4 linked regions of the Oryzias latipes genome follow. The protein of the gene in region 3 binds, or shares a complex with, the protein of the main gene of each other region. Links are inferred from orthologs where the notes say so. Each region holds a gene or a part of one and is shown on either strand. Other genes may lie near its edges. The genes, in order: cytochrome c oxidase assembly factor 1 homolog, timm21, cmc1 and smim20.

The links.
Region 1: cmc1 (region 3) and cytochrome c oxidase assembly factor 1 homolog share a complex: the UniProt entries of both Homo sapiens proteins name them as parts of the MITRAC (mitochondrial translation regulation assembly intermediate of cytochrome c oxidase complex) complex. The link is inferred for Oryzias latipes from reciprocal best matches to the Homo sapiens genes CMC1 and COA1.
Region 2: cmc1 (region 3) and timm21 share a complex: the UniProt entries of both Homo sapiens proteins name them as parts of the MITRAC (mitochondrial translation regulation assembly intermediate of cytochrome c oxidase complex) complex. The link is inferred for Oryzias latipes from reciprocal best matches to the Homo sapiens genes CMC1 and TIMM21.
Region 4: cmc1 (region 3) and smim20 share a complex: the UniProt entries of both Homo sapiens proteins name them as parts of the MITRAC (mitochondrial translation regulation assembly intermediate of cytochrome c oxidase complex) complex. The link is inferred for Oryzias latipes from reciprocal best matches to the Homo sapiens genes CMC1 and SMIM20.

What each region holds. Positions count from the first base shown.
Region 1 is NC_019875.2:5,301,920-5,305,924, reverse strand, and holds the end of cytochrome c oxidase assembly factor 1 homolog, read right to left. Parts: intron 1,196-4,005; coding exon 1,119-1,195; intron 1,047-1,118; coding exon 920-1,046; 3' UTR 562-919; downstream 1-561. UniProt on the Homo sapiens protein: Component of the MITRAC (mitochondrial translation regulation assembly intermediate of cytochrome c oxidase complex) complex, that regulates cytochrome c oxidase assembly.
Region 2 is NC_019878.2:15,518,254-15,522,389, forward strand, and holds the start of timm21 (mitochondrial import inner membrane translocase subunit Tim21), read right to left. Parts: upstream 2,830-4,136; 5' UTR 2,815-2,829; intron 2,706-2,814; 5' UTR 2,684-2,705; coding exon 2,401-2,683; intron 1,267-2,400; coding exon 1,204-1,266; intron 1,073-1,203; coding exon 975-1,072; intron 866-974; coding exon 792-865; intron 324-791; coding exon 218-323; intron 132-217; coding exon 39-131; 3' UTR 1-38. UniProt on the Homo sapiens protein: Participates in the translocation of transit peptide-containing proteins across the mitochondrial inner membrane.
Region 3 is NC_019874.2:13,407,096-13,411,437, forward strand, and holds the start of cmc1 (COX assembly mitochondrial protein homolog), read right to left. Parts: upstream 2,862-4,342; 5' UTR 2,723-2,861; coding exon 2,704-2,722; intron 2,341-2,703; coding exon 2,248-2,340; intron 1-2,247. UniProt on the Homo sapiens protein: Component of the MITRAC (mitochondrial translation regulation assembly intermediate of cytochrome c oxidase complex) complex, that regulates cytochrome c oxidase assembly.
Region 4 is NC_019876.2:17,386,069-17,390,307, forward strand, and holds the start of smim20 (small integral membrane protein 20), read right to left. Parts: upstream 2,810-4,239; 5' UTR 2,728-2,809; coding exon 2,619-2,727; intron 780-2,618; coding exon 723-779; intron 1-722.

The sequences.
Region 1 (4,005 bases), on a different chromosome or scaffold from region 3:
TAATTGCAAGGCACCGTATATTATTGCACTGGAAATCTTAAGACCCACCCAGGGTGTCCCAGTGGCTGACGGATCTTATGCAACTATTAAAACTTGACAAAATAAAATATTCAGTTCGGGGATTGAGGGACACATTTTTCTCAGTCTGGGGTCGGGTTTTAGATCACTTCTTCTCCTTCGCCTCCTCACATTCTACCACCACGTCCGCGTAGTCTATAGTTTAAAATATTCCAGTTATTACTAATTATTATTAGCATTATAAGTATTATTTTTCTTACGTATAAATATTATTACATAAGCTATTTATGTAACTATATTTCTCTAATTTATGTTGCCATTTGGTTGACTGATTTGGCCATTGAGTTGATCATATAGAGGTAAGCTTTTGTTACATTGGACAATATATATCATAGCTTTGTATTGCAAACTATGGAGAGGGGGGGGGGGGGGGGGTTGAGGGTGTTCCTCTTTCTTTTTTTAAAGATATTCATTTATTTTCCCTTTTTTGCAGGGGTGGGGAAACTGGAGAGTGGTGTTCGGAAAAAAGAATAACTGGCCGAGTTGTATTACAAATATGAAACTATATGTTTGTTTCTTTGTATTTCAGGTATGTCGCAATTCTCTTTTAGTTTGCAATAAACAAAAAACAAACAAAAAAAAGACAGTCTGCCAGAGGGGAGATGAGTGAAAAAGGAGCCTCCTGAGTGAAGAGTCAGTGTTGACAAATGTATCCTTTCCAACAGAGACTGAGAAACATTTGAAATAAATTACAGTCAAAGCTGCGCCTCAGCTCTTTGGTTCTCATTTGCACGCTGCAGAATGACGTGCACCGTTCTACAAACAGCTTCAGCTCTGTGTACGAGGTAATGATCAAAGCATAGCCCGTCCTCAGCACCAGACACTGGTCTGGAATTCCCGTTCAGAGCCATTTGTCCATGTCTTCCTCTAGTGTACTTTCTTCTGGCGTAGCTGGACGAGGAGGAGGGTTCAGCAAGTCGATGACGGAACCTTCCCGGAGGTGAAGCTCAGCCTGTTTCAAATCCCACCTGCAGGGGGGTGCACAAACTCCTTATTAATTTGTACTGAGCGTTCAGAGGAAAAAACTGAAGCAGACCCACTTGTGTGTTTGTGGCTCTCTGTGTGAACACGTGTACAGATAACCTCCAGTCTTTGAGCCTGTGACAGGAATCTTAATCTGCAAAGAAAAGAAAAAAAACACATTCAAAAAATAATTCAATTAAACCACACATCTATTTTTATCTACAAGGAGAGAAATAGAAGTTGCAGTCAATAAATTTCCAACATTCATCAAAGTGACTGTAGGTTGTTGTCACTTTACACGTTAAGAAGCCCATTGAGGCTGCTGTTGTTGGGAATTTGGGCTATACAAAAAAAAAAATTAATTGAAAAAATTGAATTACATGAAGATACACGAATCTGTCTCATAACCACTATTGCCCCTTTATCCATACTGAATACCATGTCCCAATCTTACTTTTTCTAGATACTTCCTGTGTATATATTTTGTACATCAGACCATTATTATTATTGGCAGTTTGACTGTGGGTTGAGATGACTGTGCTGGATGCCATATATATTGCATTTTTGACAACAAAGCTGACTTGAACTTGTAGACGCGAGTGGGAAAGATCTCCTGTAACATTCAGTCAGTACCACAGAGGATCTGAAATAACCTCTGACCAAAGACACTCTGCGGTAGGATTTCTGTAATCAGAAGCATGCTCCAAAAGCAGCACATGGTGAAGGGGGAGGGGCAAGGAGGCGTCCACCTGATCATCAACTGTATTTATGGTAAGCAAAGCATCTGGCTTACCGTCATATTTAGTCCTTAAAACCCATCCTTTCAAAAACAACTTCTCATCACTTTGCGTATAATGATGCATGTACATTAGGCCTGCACAGTATACCGCAAATTTATCGTTATCGCGACATTAAGCTGTGCAATATGCATACCCCAAAAGACCGCGAAAATCGCAATAAATGGTTACCTTAAATGTGCTAAAACAAACTCATGGCAGCTTGAAATATTGAACAAATGAAATAAATCCCTTTATGCATTTAACCAGTCGGAAGGACCCGTTTACGTTGTTGATCAATCAGATGAGCCCTTTTATGTTTGATGTTTGCCTCCTACGTCGACGAGGGTCATTTGGAGTATAATTTTTAAACTGTTGCAGTGAACACGGAAATGATGTTTTTGGTTGTTTTGCTATTTGTTTATATAGCGCGAATTATATCGTTATCGCACTATTAATCACCAATATCGCATATCTTTCTCATTCAAAGAGTTTTCTTTATTTTCATGACTATGAAAATTGTAGATTCAAACTGAAGGCATCAAAACTATGAATGAACACATGTGGAATTATATACATAACAAAAATGTGTGAAAAAACTGAAAATATGTCATATTGTAGGTTCTTCATAGTACCCGCCTTTTGCTTTGATTACTGCTTTGCACACTCTTGGCATTCTCTTGATGAGCTTGAAGAGGTAGTCACCTGAGATGTTTTTCACTTCACAGGTGTGCCCTGTAAGGTTTAATAAGTGTGATTTCTTGCCTTATAAATGGGGTCGGGACCATCAGTTGTGTTGTGCAGAAGTCAGGTGGATACACAACTGATAGTCCTACTGAATAGTTAGAATTGTTAGCGATGGGAATAGAAGCCCCATGAAGCTTCCCTTGGGCTTCATGTAATTGTGCCGGAAAAATGAACCAGCCATTCAGGGCTTTGAAACCACACAGAACAGCGGCATCTGGTGGCGGACTGGCCGTATATCATATGCTTCAACTAAGCTCCTTGTAACACTTCAATGTAGAAGTGATGATGGAAAAAAACGTAACACAAAACATTGTTTTTAATAATTAAAAAATAAAACGTAAAACAACATGACATGTGACGTTTTCTGTGAGAAGTGCTTGACACAGCAAAACACTCATGACATGAAGAAAATAAACACAAAGCAAATTATTTTATTTTTTTTAAATGCTGGTCTTGAACCCAGCACCTCTGGATGCAGACCCCATTGACTTGCTATAGTGTATTGTGTACATGTACCCACTGAGCTATCGCTACTGATACTGATTCACCTAGCCATTGTAAATTCATTGAAGTGTGTCTTATTTTACACAACGTCTATTGTTCTATTAGGAAAAATCGAGTTGAAACGATCCTGAGCCACAGTACGTTTTTACCAGGAGCCATGGTAAAGTGCAATGAACTGATGCTGATTACGATACAGGGGAAACAATAGAACTGGTCGGGAAACATCGTCCATCGTGATGGGTGAGTGACATCCCGATGGAGAGACACCATCGTGATGCCACGCCCCCGCCAAGCTGCGAGTCGACACCATAAGCCCCGGTTACATGTGAAAAATATCTTGATGGGATCGATGGTCGGATTAGAATCCAACTGTGTAGATGGTTCCAGAAAAATGTTTTCAGATTATAACAAACGTTCACATGGGTCACACTTTCGGTCGGAATAAATCATTCGCACATGCGCAGTAGGATTTGAAAAACCGGAAGCGGATATCAGTTCCGCCGAGCGGCTATTTTTTTCTCAAACTTTATTGAATGTAACAATTCATTACAAAACAATGTTGCAGAGCGGTTTTATACATTGATATGTCAGCTCGGTAATATACAAGACGATCATCTAAACCTGCTTTTAATAATGTTACGGTTATTATGAAACGCCTGTTCGCTCATCGTTTTATTTTTAATCAGTGCTTTTTCTGTTGAAAAACTGAGCCAGAAAGAAGCCAGAATTAGCAGTATGCTAACACGGGCTAACAACATTAGCTTGGGTGGTGCTGCAATCTGCATCTTGGCTGCATGTAAACATGTGGGAATAACATTAGCCTTTATTTAGTCGGGACACGACTCGAAACACAAATCCACGTGATTGTTTGAACGATTTCTAAGGACTGAGCGGCCTTTCTGCTTTGAAGCTCAAACCGCCCCAAAGCGCTGTGTGT
Region 2 (4,136 bases), on a different chromosome or scaffold from region 3:
AACGTCTTGACTTGTCCCCTGAGTGTCAGAAAAGCTCCTCATCTGTTGTCCTCCACAACAATAGTCCGTCTCGGGTAGGTATCTATTTCTACAAATACATAACGGAATTCATACTTTCCAGTTTCAAGATTCTGCAAAACAACAAGGATACCATTATCTCAACTGATCAAAAAATCCACACAAGAAACAACAGGTTTCCATTTAAATAAAGACTTACCTCTTTAGACTCTGAATGCACCGTCCCTTTCAGGCCCGGCTCCGATCCCTCAATGTAAAACTTTAGTCTCATGTGCTTAAGTCCATCCTTTACATACTCCACGTGACTGAAGTGGAAATATGAGAATAAGGAATAAAAAAACTCCAACAATAACATATATATGTAATAACCTTAACATTTTGTAACTCCATTCTTCCAGAGCTCCAGATTCTCAGATGCTTACAATAAATCAGCACGAATACCACGTTAGCTCTTCAAAAGACAATAAAAACTTTTATGTTTCATAGCTGTGGGGTCTGAAACTAAATTCTCCTTCATGACAAGTTTTGCATAAACGTTGAAGGAAATTCAATGCTGCTGAAAATATGATTTATAGCTGATGTTCACAGGTTGTGATTCTGAAAGGAAGTCCTTCAAATCCTGCAAAAGCATTTCCTCTAAAACTAAAGGCAGCTGCTTGTTATGCCAAGTTTGATCAGATTTACTGTATTCTATACCATGAATCAATGAATGCTAAAGCAACATTTTGCAAGTAAGAAAAAGTTCAATAAGATAAGATAAAGTGTCAACACACCTGACTTGCTGCCTTCTCCCTCGGCGGGTGGTCTCACCGTAACATTTAATTGGTTCTCCAAATGCCCCAATAACCTGCAATTGATTATGTATTTCTTACTTTTATTTTGGAAAAACAATGATTTCTAGCCATTTCAACAGTAAAAAAATATTGATAGGAGACGCCGTCTGGCTTGATTTTTACCTCTGGGTGCGACCTGACTTTGTCAAAGGCTCTGCTGTAGACTTTATTTGGGCTGGTAGAGGAAAACAGCTCTTGGAACACCACATATAACAGCCCCCCTGACCAACACAGCAGAAAACTGCAGCTGATTATTTAGGTTGTGTGTTCTGGGACCAAATAAATAAATATATAAACAAGCAATGTGGGATTGTTGTGTAGCCATTCCTTGGACTCGTGCAGTTCAATTCACCTGTTACTCCAAGCCCGATGAGGACCACGATCAGGTAGGTGAAGTCTCTCCCAGCATCTTTGACTGAAAGACAAACAGAGCAGAGGCTCTTGAGTGGCCAATGCATAGTGGAAGAGTTTAGATTTATAAGCAAAATTTAACCCAGAGTGAAAATATTCCAGGTTTGATATAAAAGGAAACTGTGTGTCTGTGCAGACGGGTAGCTCTATTAGACTGCGGCTATAAGAGATGACAAGAGGAGGAGGAACTCATCAACATAACGTTAGGTCTGGCCCTCTAGTATGCCCCGAGGTATTATGATGACAAGTCCTAAAGATCTTTAGTTAGTTAGTTTCTGCAGAGCAGCAGTAGTTCAATAGAAATTGACCACTGTGCTGTTGGCGTGGAGCAAGCCTGCTCCACTTCCCATCACCAACCTATTACCCGCTCCCCCTCACACCCCCAACCTAACGTTACCAGAGTTAGTAATTACTTCATTACTTTAAAAATAATGACATAAAAATAGAATAAAGGAGCAAATTCTTGGTCTGGAATATATATATTCCAATGCTGGAATAAATGCAAAATGAAATATATCCATTGATTTGATGAATTAATGCAGAATTTATCTTCAAGATTAATTTGGATTTTCTTTTCTTTTTTCAATAAACCTTGTTCAATTGGATTTGGCATTGCTTATTTCAAGCAACCAAAGCAAAAACAATGCTGAAAACTACACAATCAACATCCATACAAACTAAGATGTATCAAACATAGAATATTTAGTCATTTAATTAAAGATGGCTTGAAAGGGAGTGGAAGGAAGCAAACTTATCAAACTTAACATTTTCTTTACATGAAGTATCCGGTTCATAACTTCTAAGCGGATATTTATACCTTACCAACACAGTTTCAGGTCATTAAGAATCTTTAGGTATCAATAAATCACATGAAAAAGATGAAGTACATAAAGTGAGTGAATGAGGTATAGACTAAAGAGGGCCCAGAACAGAAACCTGAGGAACACCACAGGAAAGGGAGTAGGAGTTATTACTTGCCAAGAAACTTTGAAAGCAGCTTTGGTTGTAAGAAAACAAAATGGGCGGTCCTAAAACAAGATTTTTAGTTTTTTCTAAATAAAATAGTAGCTTTAAACCCCATTTAAAGAGACAAGACAGTAAATATGCGTTTAGTTGCACAAATCTGAAATGGGCATACCTTTCTGAGCAGAGGACACTTTAGGACTCTGGTAGGCAGAAACAGACCTGTGCTTCTCCTCCTTGTTTCTGAGGATAACGTGAACAGAAAAGCGTCTTCGTGTTTGACAGAGACAGCTCAGGGCGGACACAGGAGCCTCTGACCCACGGACGGACAGGCCGGGGATGACCGCTCCTGCTCTGCGTGTGAACAACAGCACGCCAGCCTGCTGCACGGGGAGAAATGTTTTCCCGGAGCTCCGCACACTTTGTTGCACGGCTTTTAAAATGTGCGTGAAAGACATTATTTTATCCGACGGACAATATCTGAAAAAAAGAAAAGAAAACAGCAGCTCATCTACTGAAAATAAGAATCAAATAACAGCGGTCTTTCATGGTAACATGGAATTGCAATGCTGGAAACCGCCATTCAGACCTCTGATTCACTGACCTGCTGGGTCGATCAGACGTCGAGGATTTTCTAAAGATGGCTACTGCCCCCTTCTGTCCCGGATGTCAAACTGCAGCCTTATTTGTGGTCTGGGGCTTTTTTGACCTTACGTCGTATTTCGCTTTATTGATTTATCTTCAAATCGGTTTTTGCGGCAATGCTTGATTTCCATCCTCTTTTTAAAAACCCACACTTCGTTTTACTGATTTTGTTTTCATTATACTGCACAATAACTCCACAATGAAGTTGAAACTGTCCAAAAAAGTCAATTCTGAGTGATAAATGTGGTCTTTTTTCTGCTAAAGATTCAAGATTCAAGAATTCTTGAAAAAAGACCACATTTTTTAGCAGAAAAAATGTGGTCTTTTTTCTGCTAAAACAATGATTAAAAAATTGAGATCAAACAGTTTTTATGTTTTATAACAAAGGTAAAACGTGTTGAGACAAAACAAAGTTATAAATCCAAAAAAACAAAACATGCAACAATTTAGACATACTTAATTAGAAGCAGAGTTTTTTCAACATAAAAATAATTCACTTAAGGTTTCAAACTTATTGACTTGGTACTTAGGATTATGTAAATACTTTAAATAGACCCTTAATTAATACAAGTTTTTTTTTTAATTACAGGTATAATTTATTTTAAAAGGATCCTTTCATGTTGATAAAAAATGAAAGGAAAACAAATTACTGCTCACTACAGCATTACTGGCTAAGGACTTAAATGCACAGCAGACATGAATATGTATTTGCTGAATGGCTGTTTGAGTCAGCACTCCCACAAATTTCAGAAACATCTGATAAATGCATATATTTTCTTTCCTATTTCAATTAAAGTTGCACTTTCCTGAAAGCAAATCCACATGATTGAGATTTTATAACAATGTTATTTAGTGTCTTTGTGATTATCAATTACATTTTTGGGGCTGCTTGAAGTTGATTTATTCCGAAACAATATTCCTGTCTGTTTTTATTCAAATTTTTGTTCAAAATAAGTTTAAAATGTTTGAAAACGTATCTTTAATGTGTTCACTAAATGTTTATCCTGTTCGGCCCACAACCTGGACCCCTGTGCAATTGAGTTTGACACCCTTGTAATACGAGTATATAAAATTCTTACATTTGTGTTGATTTTTGTGTTAATTAAAAATAGGGAACACAAAACGATGTGGTCAATGTGGGTGTGGGGGGGGTTGTAAGTCAGTGTAGAACTGCCACTGAACAAAATATTTCCATTGTCACACCAGCTTCCTTCTTCCTCAGGGGATTGGTCAAATACAAAACTGGTCAATTTGTAATATAATCTA
Region 3 (4,342 bases):
AGAACATGTTAAAAACACCAAAAAAAAAACTATTTTCTACTCAGAGTGAGGTCTTTCACATGTAGGCTGTTCTGAAAGACATTAAAATATTAGCGTGAATCATCTATTCAGTGGGAAAAATCATGACGGGTTGGGGTCAGTAGAACGCGCCTTTCTCAAAGCCCACAAAATCCAAGTGTGGGCTGCTTGTGTGTAAAGACAAAAACACAGTGAACGTGCTGCCAGGCGTTTTTCACGTTTCTTTGTAAAACTCCAACACAGACACACGTGTGCAGACACAAGCACACAGCATGAGAGGGTGGAGGATGAAGGTGTGAAAATGAGTGGGACGAGAAGCTTGTAAGATGAGGGGGGTTTCCATTACCACATAGCCACTGTCTGTCCCATCACCCCAGCCTGAATGTGCACCCTTCTCCTCGCGTAAGCAGCGCACACTGGCTGTGATCAGATTTTTACAAACCACATAACTTAGTCACTCTGGTTGATGCATCGCTGCAGTTGCCCTGTAGCACTGCACGAGCAAGACTACGGGCAGTGTTTCTGTGCAGATGATGTAGTTACTGCTGGCATGCCAGTTAGCCTGGCCTTTAAATATAATTCACAGCAAAAGTTTAGCAGCACACAAGTCAAATGTTTAAGGAATAGAAAGGAGAGACCCAAGAAGAGGAAAAAACTGCCAATATAACTGTCAAACTATTATTAATGTAAAATATGCTGGTTAGCCACAACTAAATCAGTCCCATTGTTTGTAATTATTTTTTAACAGAAAATATTAAATATTAAAAAATACAAACGCGTTCAAACAAACCTGTATTTATTAAGAAACAACTATTGAAAATAGCCTGCATTACCATTTGTTCTGAGGTTTTTACTATAAATTTAACTCAAAGAATTTAATTTAATGAAATGCTGCCCTACTCAAACAAGACTTTTACTAAATTCACTTTTGGGTCAAACTTACTGATCCAGATTATCCCCTTACTTCTTTAAATTTTAAGGAAAAATTAGGAATGGAAAGACTTTGAGACTAAAAGTCTAATGCCATTTTCAAATCGTTAACCTGATGCTTTAGAAATCAAATAATTGATTTGATTAACACAAATCTTTACTAGAAAAAAAACTGGTGATCTTAAGAGTTCTGCACTTAGGGATGCATATTTAAAAAAAAAAGTCATAAACATTAAATGAATAATAAAAGTACAATGTCCAGAGTTTTGAGGATGGTTACTCATACACCAGTGATAATGAAAAAGATGTATTTTACTATTGTTTTCTGCAGTGTTTTATACTGTTGTTTCTTTTTATACATTATATTTGTAGTAACTCATGTTAGACATCATTATTTCTAATATTTAAGTGTTATCAAGGTGCTGAGTTTTTTGGTTTGACCAAAAATGTAAAGATAATTGGCCAAAATTGAGACTTTGCTGATACTGTGAAACCATCAGAAAACTGTTGATTTAGTGGCATTACAACAGGAGTCCCTTCCTCTTATCCACATATGTCAAATTCAAGGCCCGGGGGCCAAATGTGGCCCTCCATGTCATTTTATGTGGCCCCCGAGAGCATAAAAGTTTTTGATTTCTTAAAATAAAAAATAAAAATTGGTGTGTATTTATATATATAGGGGGGGAATCTGCCTTGAAATATCAGATTGGGCAACCATACATTAGGACTTAAACACTGTCCATATAACCTAACCTGACAGAATCAAATTTAAAAGGATTTATGATAGAGTAACAAGCAAACATATGTTTTCTATGCAACTGTAATTGTCACTTTCAAAAGTTATAAATAATAAATAAATTAGTTGTTTAACATTAAGGAGTAGTTACGTGTATGTTTCATTACATTTAGTTACATGTATAAGTTATATCCGGCCCTTTGAGGACAGCTGCTATACTGATGTGGCCCTCGGTGGAAATGAGTTTGACACCCCTACGCTTATCGGTTCCAAAATGCCATCAACGTTCATCAAGCTCTGTGGATGTTGCTGGTCCAAATTAATGTGGTGACAGCAACATCACAAGAGGTTTTAATGTGAAATAAAATCCTACACTGCTCAGAAAAATGAAAAAATATTTTTTTTTTTTTGGTTTTAGATCTCAAGGTCACTCAAAGTTCACACGTGATCAAGATCTCCTTTCATGACGGCCACAATGAAGACGAATCTGTGTGTGCTGTACAGAGAAGGAGTCAGCTTAACCCACAGCTCACTGGTATTTGCTGAGTTATCTGTAAACACACCATCAACCTTGTCCGCACAAAGCTCCTTGGCTTTCTCCCTCATCATCTTGGGGATCAGCACGTCCGTCTCCACATGTCTCAGATGGACCTCCTCTGTATCAGATCAGGAGAAAAGGAGGTAAACAAGAGAGATGTGTGTGCCAAACGAGGATGATGGAAACGGTTTATTAGTAAATTAAACTGATGAAGACTACGGCTTTATCATGACGGTACAACGCCTAATGTGCAAAATTACAAAACATTTAATGTAGCTAATAAAAATAAAGTGGAGTTCGGTTTGCAACTACCAAAACGTCGTGGATCGATATGTCGCTAACGTCATGCATGATCATGGCAAGACACCGAGGAATGGCTAGTAGTTATCATCCAGATAACATATTCATCTTTATGGTGAAATTACCGAATACATTTTATACTTGACGAGGCATTTTTTTTTAATAAAAGGACGTTACATACCTGTATTTGTTGCTTCCATTATGGGGGGACTCTCAAAACATTACAAAACAGAGGCAATCAATGTGACCTAGCTAACGGACGCTGAAAACACTTCCGCTGACGTAAGAAGAATGAAACTACAAATCCCATAGACAACACGGTGTGGTAACGAGTACCGCCTCTTCCGAATGAAGTCAGGTTTTTTAAGCAAAATAAACTTTTATATTATATTATATTATATTATATTATATTATATTATATTATATTATATTATATTATATTATATTATATTATATTATATTATATTATATTATATTATATTATATTATATTATATTGTATTGTATTGTATTGTATTGTATTGTATTGTATTATATAGTACTGTATTTTACTATATTATATTATATTATATTATATTATATTATATTATATTATATTATATCATATCATATCATATCATATACTATACTATACTATACTATACTATACTGTACTATGTTATGTTATGTAATGTTATATCATATTATACTGTATTATATTATATTATATTATATTATATTATATTATATTATATTATATTATATTATATTATATTATATTATATTATATTATATTATATTATTTTGAATAATGGTAGTGACCATTTTCTGGGTAAATACTTAATTATTTAACATTTCCTTAATCATTCTAAAATTATCTTTTTTATATATGACCTGGATTTAAATAACAGACGTTGACTACTAAAGGAGTTACATTGTATGAAACAAAATGTAGGTTACAACATTTTTAAATGAAATTAGATTATTAAAACTATAATTTAAGCAATATAATTGGAAGTACCAAGCTTATCCTTTTTTGTGTTTTCTCTGCTGGATGGATACTGAATGATTAATTACCACAAATTTAGTAAATAACATCCGCAATTTTTTCCTGAAGCCCAAAATTCCAAAACGACTTGTCATTAGTAAGTACTTATACCTTGAATAAATCATGAAAGCAGTTTTAAGGAAGAGTTGTAATAAATCAGTCGCAGCAAAATAAAGTCATTTAAGTGATGCAAACAGAGAAAAATTCAGCCATTTGATCAAATTCCATTATATTCTATACTGGTCATCAATTGGTGTATTTCTTTCACAGTTCTGTTAAAATGTCTTCCAAAAAAGGTTAATATATCAACTGTCTTTGTTCTGTTAATTTGGTATCAGAACAATCCTTTTTTTTACATGAAAACCTTTAGAATGTTAGTGTACAAAAAAATATATATGTCTAGAAAAGTTTTAAAACGTCTAAAAGTGGACATTTTTTGTAACAATTTTTTAAATTGTTTAATTTTTTTTCTTCAAAACCTTACAAAATTTAATCAAACCTGTCAAGTGACTTAAAAAGAATGAAAAAAATATGATATGCTGGTAATATGGTAGCAAATCTCTCCTGAAAGTATGTCAACATACAGCCACAATGTACCAGAGACTCAGCCACAGACTGCACGTTTCACACAGTCTGACCACAGTCAGGTGTGTGGCACAAAGATCACATAGATTCCAAGCGTATCAGCCTCACTTGTTCAATTAAAGAGACAGGTATTCTCTCCGAGACACGCAGAATCACACGCTGAGGAAAGAGTGTCTTCACACGAGCAGCAATACAGACGATAGACTACA
Region 4 (4,239 bases), on a different chromosome or scaffold from region 3:
GTTCTCTTTGTAGAATCAGTGCTTTGCAGAGCAGACGTTTGCTTTAATAGATATTAAATCCCGCAATAGTTATTAAAAAGATAATAATCATAAATGGAGATTAAAGAAATAATGTAATTAAACTGAAAGTTACAAAAGAAACAAAATACTACAGCAAATGCAGTTGCACATGGTTTTTAACTTGTGCTTTATTTCTTAATTTAGCTCCAAACAATGTGTTTTTTAATTTTGAGTTTCAGAAAATTCAGAAAATGTTTAGGCCAAATGTGGACATTTTAGTCATTATTGTAATTATCAAATGATTACAGAGGATGTAGAAAGTGATCCTGTGACAAAATAAAGTTGATCTAAAAGAGCAGCCGGGCTGCCTTCACTTTTCTGTGACTCAAATCCAATAAAAATGTCAAACTGTTTCGCTTTCATGGCGTTTTTTGTTAAGGATAAGAAATCCGACCAAAATACTTTCACAGATTCTTTTCAAAAATTGATTTCACTTAATCTGCCATCCATACTTAAAGTAAAAACATTTGTTTATTGTTTTTAATTGATTAAAAACGGACCCAAGAAGTGTTTTGGAATGACAAAATATACAAAAAGATTCCTCTTTTGTGAGGAAAGTTGATCCAAACATTTCTCTTTTTTTTTTTTTTTTTACCAGTATTGTCAAAGCTCCTGTAAGCATCATTTCACCCGCTTTTTTGAATTCAGCGACCTTTTCTTACCCACAGGCTGCACATCTTCCTGGTTTATTCCGGACCGATTTATCCTCTGAGTTTGTCCTAAAAAGGAGCACAGCATTTCAGTTAGATTCTTTATTCTAGGGAAAATTTTCATGCTATGATCCATTTCAAAAAATTTCTAGAAATGTTTGATTTCAAATGTTTTTAAAAAAAATTAAGGAAGGAGAGTCTAAAGCTTCAGTTTAGGGAACATATTTGCCGGTGATTGTGAAAATCATTACAGGGGTTGTATTTTTATAATAGTAACATTGCAAAGGTGCAGAAAATCCATGGAAAAAATAAATAAATATTATTATTACTTAAATAATATAACAGTTAAAAAAAATCCTACTTTAAAGAGCTAATTTCAGAAAACCTGATTCATTCGTGACATTATAGTGTGACCTCAAGTAGCTTGAAGTAGTTAGGATTCAGTTTGACCTAAAACCTTCAGATCCTGCTGCTTACATGAACACATCTGGATTTCTCCAAAGATGGAGATTTCTGGAAGAGTTATTCAAGCAGGAAGTCCGAATCTGTGACCATCTTTCTAACTTTACCAAATCCTCTGAGTGCTGCACTCTGATTGGTTAACTCCCCCCTCCTCTAACCCTCCCTTCCCCCAGTTCCATTATCAGACACAGATCAGTTTTGACACAAGTTTCTTGCAAGGAATGTGTCAGAATTCAGAGCGCAGTTGTAGCGCACTTGTGATTTGCGCCAGCAGATTCGAGCAGACGCAGAAGCACATTTGAGCAGTTGGAATCACATATTTGACGTTGTAACTCTAAATGAACACATGCAAATGGGAATTTCTCAGTTCACAGCAAAAGATTTTTACACAAAGATGCAGAATTTTGTTGTGCAAGTATTCACATTCTATATTACAAGATCTCACATCAAATCAAAAGTGCGTTCTTTTTGGAACATATTTACCTTCATAAAGAACAGTCAGATTTGTTTTTTTAGTTGTGTATTTTGATGCCTAAGAATGAACTTTTTCTGTTGTTTTTTGTTTCAGAAGTTTATTTGAACTGCCTTTTTCCCACATCCGATGCAGAAAAACTTAAAATAAATCAGGCAAACATAAATCCTTGAAGCAGGAAATAGAATTTTTGGAGAGACATCTGGCCCAAATACTATTACCAGCCATAATCCATTAAAGATATCAGGCTTTTTTCACCTCAGTAAGCAGACTACTGTTGAAATCAGATCATGATCGGTGTGCATGCAAACTGTTAAATAGCAGCGGCTGAAAAGATAGCTTTTTTTATTTTATTTAATTGTACTTTCTCCTTCATTTATGTTATTTATTATTATCATTATCATCATTATTCACATTATTATTAGTAGTAGTAGTTGATTTTCTCTTTTTCTATTATTATTTTTAATAGTAGTACTAGTACTAGAAGCAGTATTAGTAGTCGTTTTCTTGTCTTTTTCTTGGGCAGACTTAATAAATAAGCTTCTTCCTGCTCTATTTCAAACATGTTTTCTATTGTTGTACTATTTTTGCTGTAGCTGTTTTTATTCATGTTTTCATCTTTAGATTTGCATCATTTTGACTGTATTATTTTTAATTATAAACATGTTTGGGGGAAAAACATAGAACCTATGAGGAAAATTACTTTAAAAGTTTGCTTATTTTCAGCTTTGAGGACAAAATACTCAAATGGAATTAAACTACTAGCTAGCTAAAAGTTAGAAGCTAGCTTCCAAAAGCAGTTTAAATAAAAAAAAAAATACTTCAGTACCGGTACTTCAAATATTTTTTTCAAAACAGCCTTTAGTTTGATTTAGGAGAATATCTTTAGAAAATATATAAAAATATTTGTGACGTTTACATGACATTGTATAAGAGCTAAAAAAATAAATAAATACAAGCTGTTAGCTACTTACTGTACTCGTCTCTGTGCGTCAGAGGATAGACGAAAATAGGATATAAAGCAGCGGCGACTGTTGTTATAAAACCCCCAAAAATCAGCGCTATTCTTATATTTTTCGACATTTTTCTAGCTTGGTAGGACGTAACCTAGCATTAAAGACACCCCGTGTTTACAACTTGTACTTCCGGGGAAAAGGTTACGCTGTCACATTTTTTTTGACAAATCTTTATTTAAAAACCAAAAATGACAAACAGCAAGGAACACAGAGCAATACACTGTATATCAATTTTGATAGATAAACGCTAGGGGTTATGAAAGTAAAATTATGTTAATCTATTAAACTGAGCCTAAAATCACTTCTAGTGAATGATATAGAAATTACAGATGAAAAGGCTGTATCCTCAGAAATTTACAGATTTTATAGCCACCTTTACAGCTCTAAATTTTCAAGAGCAGACTGTGACAACTTTATAAAAGAGATTCCCCACATCCCCAAAATAGACGACAATTTTAAACAAACATGCGATAAACAACTTTTAATCTCTGAGCTTGATGCTGTCATTAATCGACTCTCTCTTAATAAATCTCCTGGTTCAGATGGGCTCACAGGCGACTTTTATAGACACTTTTGGGAAGATATCAGAAAATTACTGTATCAAGTCTTCTTGGAAATCTTGAAATTTGGCCATTTATATTACGAATTGTTATGACATCAAAAAGTTAAATGTCTTGGGTACAGAGCTTATTATTGGCCAGCTAGCAGATGACACAACACTGTTTTTAAAAGATGAGCATCAAATCAAAGCAGCTATTGAAAAAGTAAAACACTTTTCCAAAGCGTCAGGGTCAAACTTAAATTTAAAGAAATTGTGAACTGTTGACTATTCATGACACACCTTTAAAAGAAATCAATCATATGCCCATTAAATCAGAAATTAAATACTTGGGGATCTACATCACCAAAGACCAAAAAATAAGCTAATCAAGGAATGTGGGTGAAAAACTGGATGAATGTGAGACAGAGTTAAATATGTGGCTCCAAAGAGACATGTCGATGCAGGGCCGGATCTATCTGACAAAGATGGAGTGTTTGTCAAGATGTATTTACCCATCTTACTCTAATGCCATCCCAAACAAAATGATAAAATCCATCTGCCAAATGACTTTAAACTTTATTTGGAGAAACAAGCATCATTACATGAAAAATAAATATGGTCAAAGAATTTAAAGATGGTGGTCTCAAAGTTATGAATTTTGACTGCCGTAACGGAATCCTATAGATAAAATCGTGGATCAAACACAACCAATCTTTCAATCTAGCATTATCAGAGTTCCACAATTCTGCTATACTGGAAAATATTGTATGTGCATCGCCATTTTTAAGTACTATTTGGAACAATGAATACATGCTCCATAGAAACAAGTCCTTGTTTTGTGCTGAATGGTTTGGGCAAAGTGTTTGGTCGGTGACTGATCTGATGGACACGGAGGGCAATTTATTAGATTATGAGCAATTGTGTTTAAGACATAACTTTAATCCTCCTATTTCAGAATTCTTAAAAGTACGTAATTCTCTTCCTTGAGAATTAGTATTTCTAACAAGGAACACAATGACACATGTAATGATAAAACGA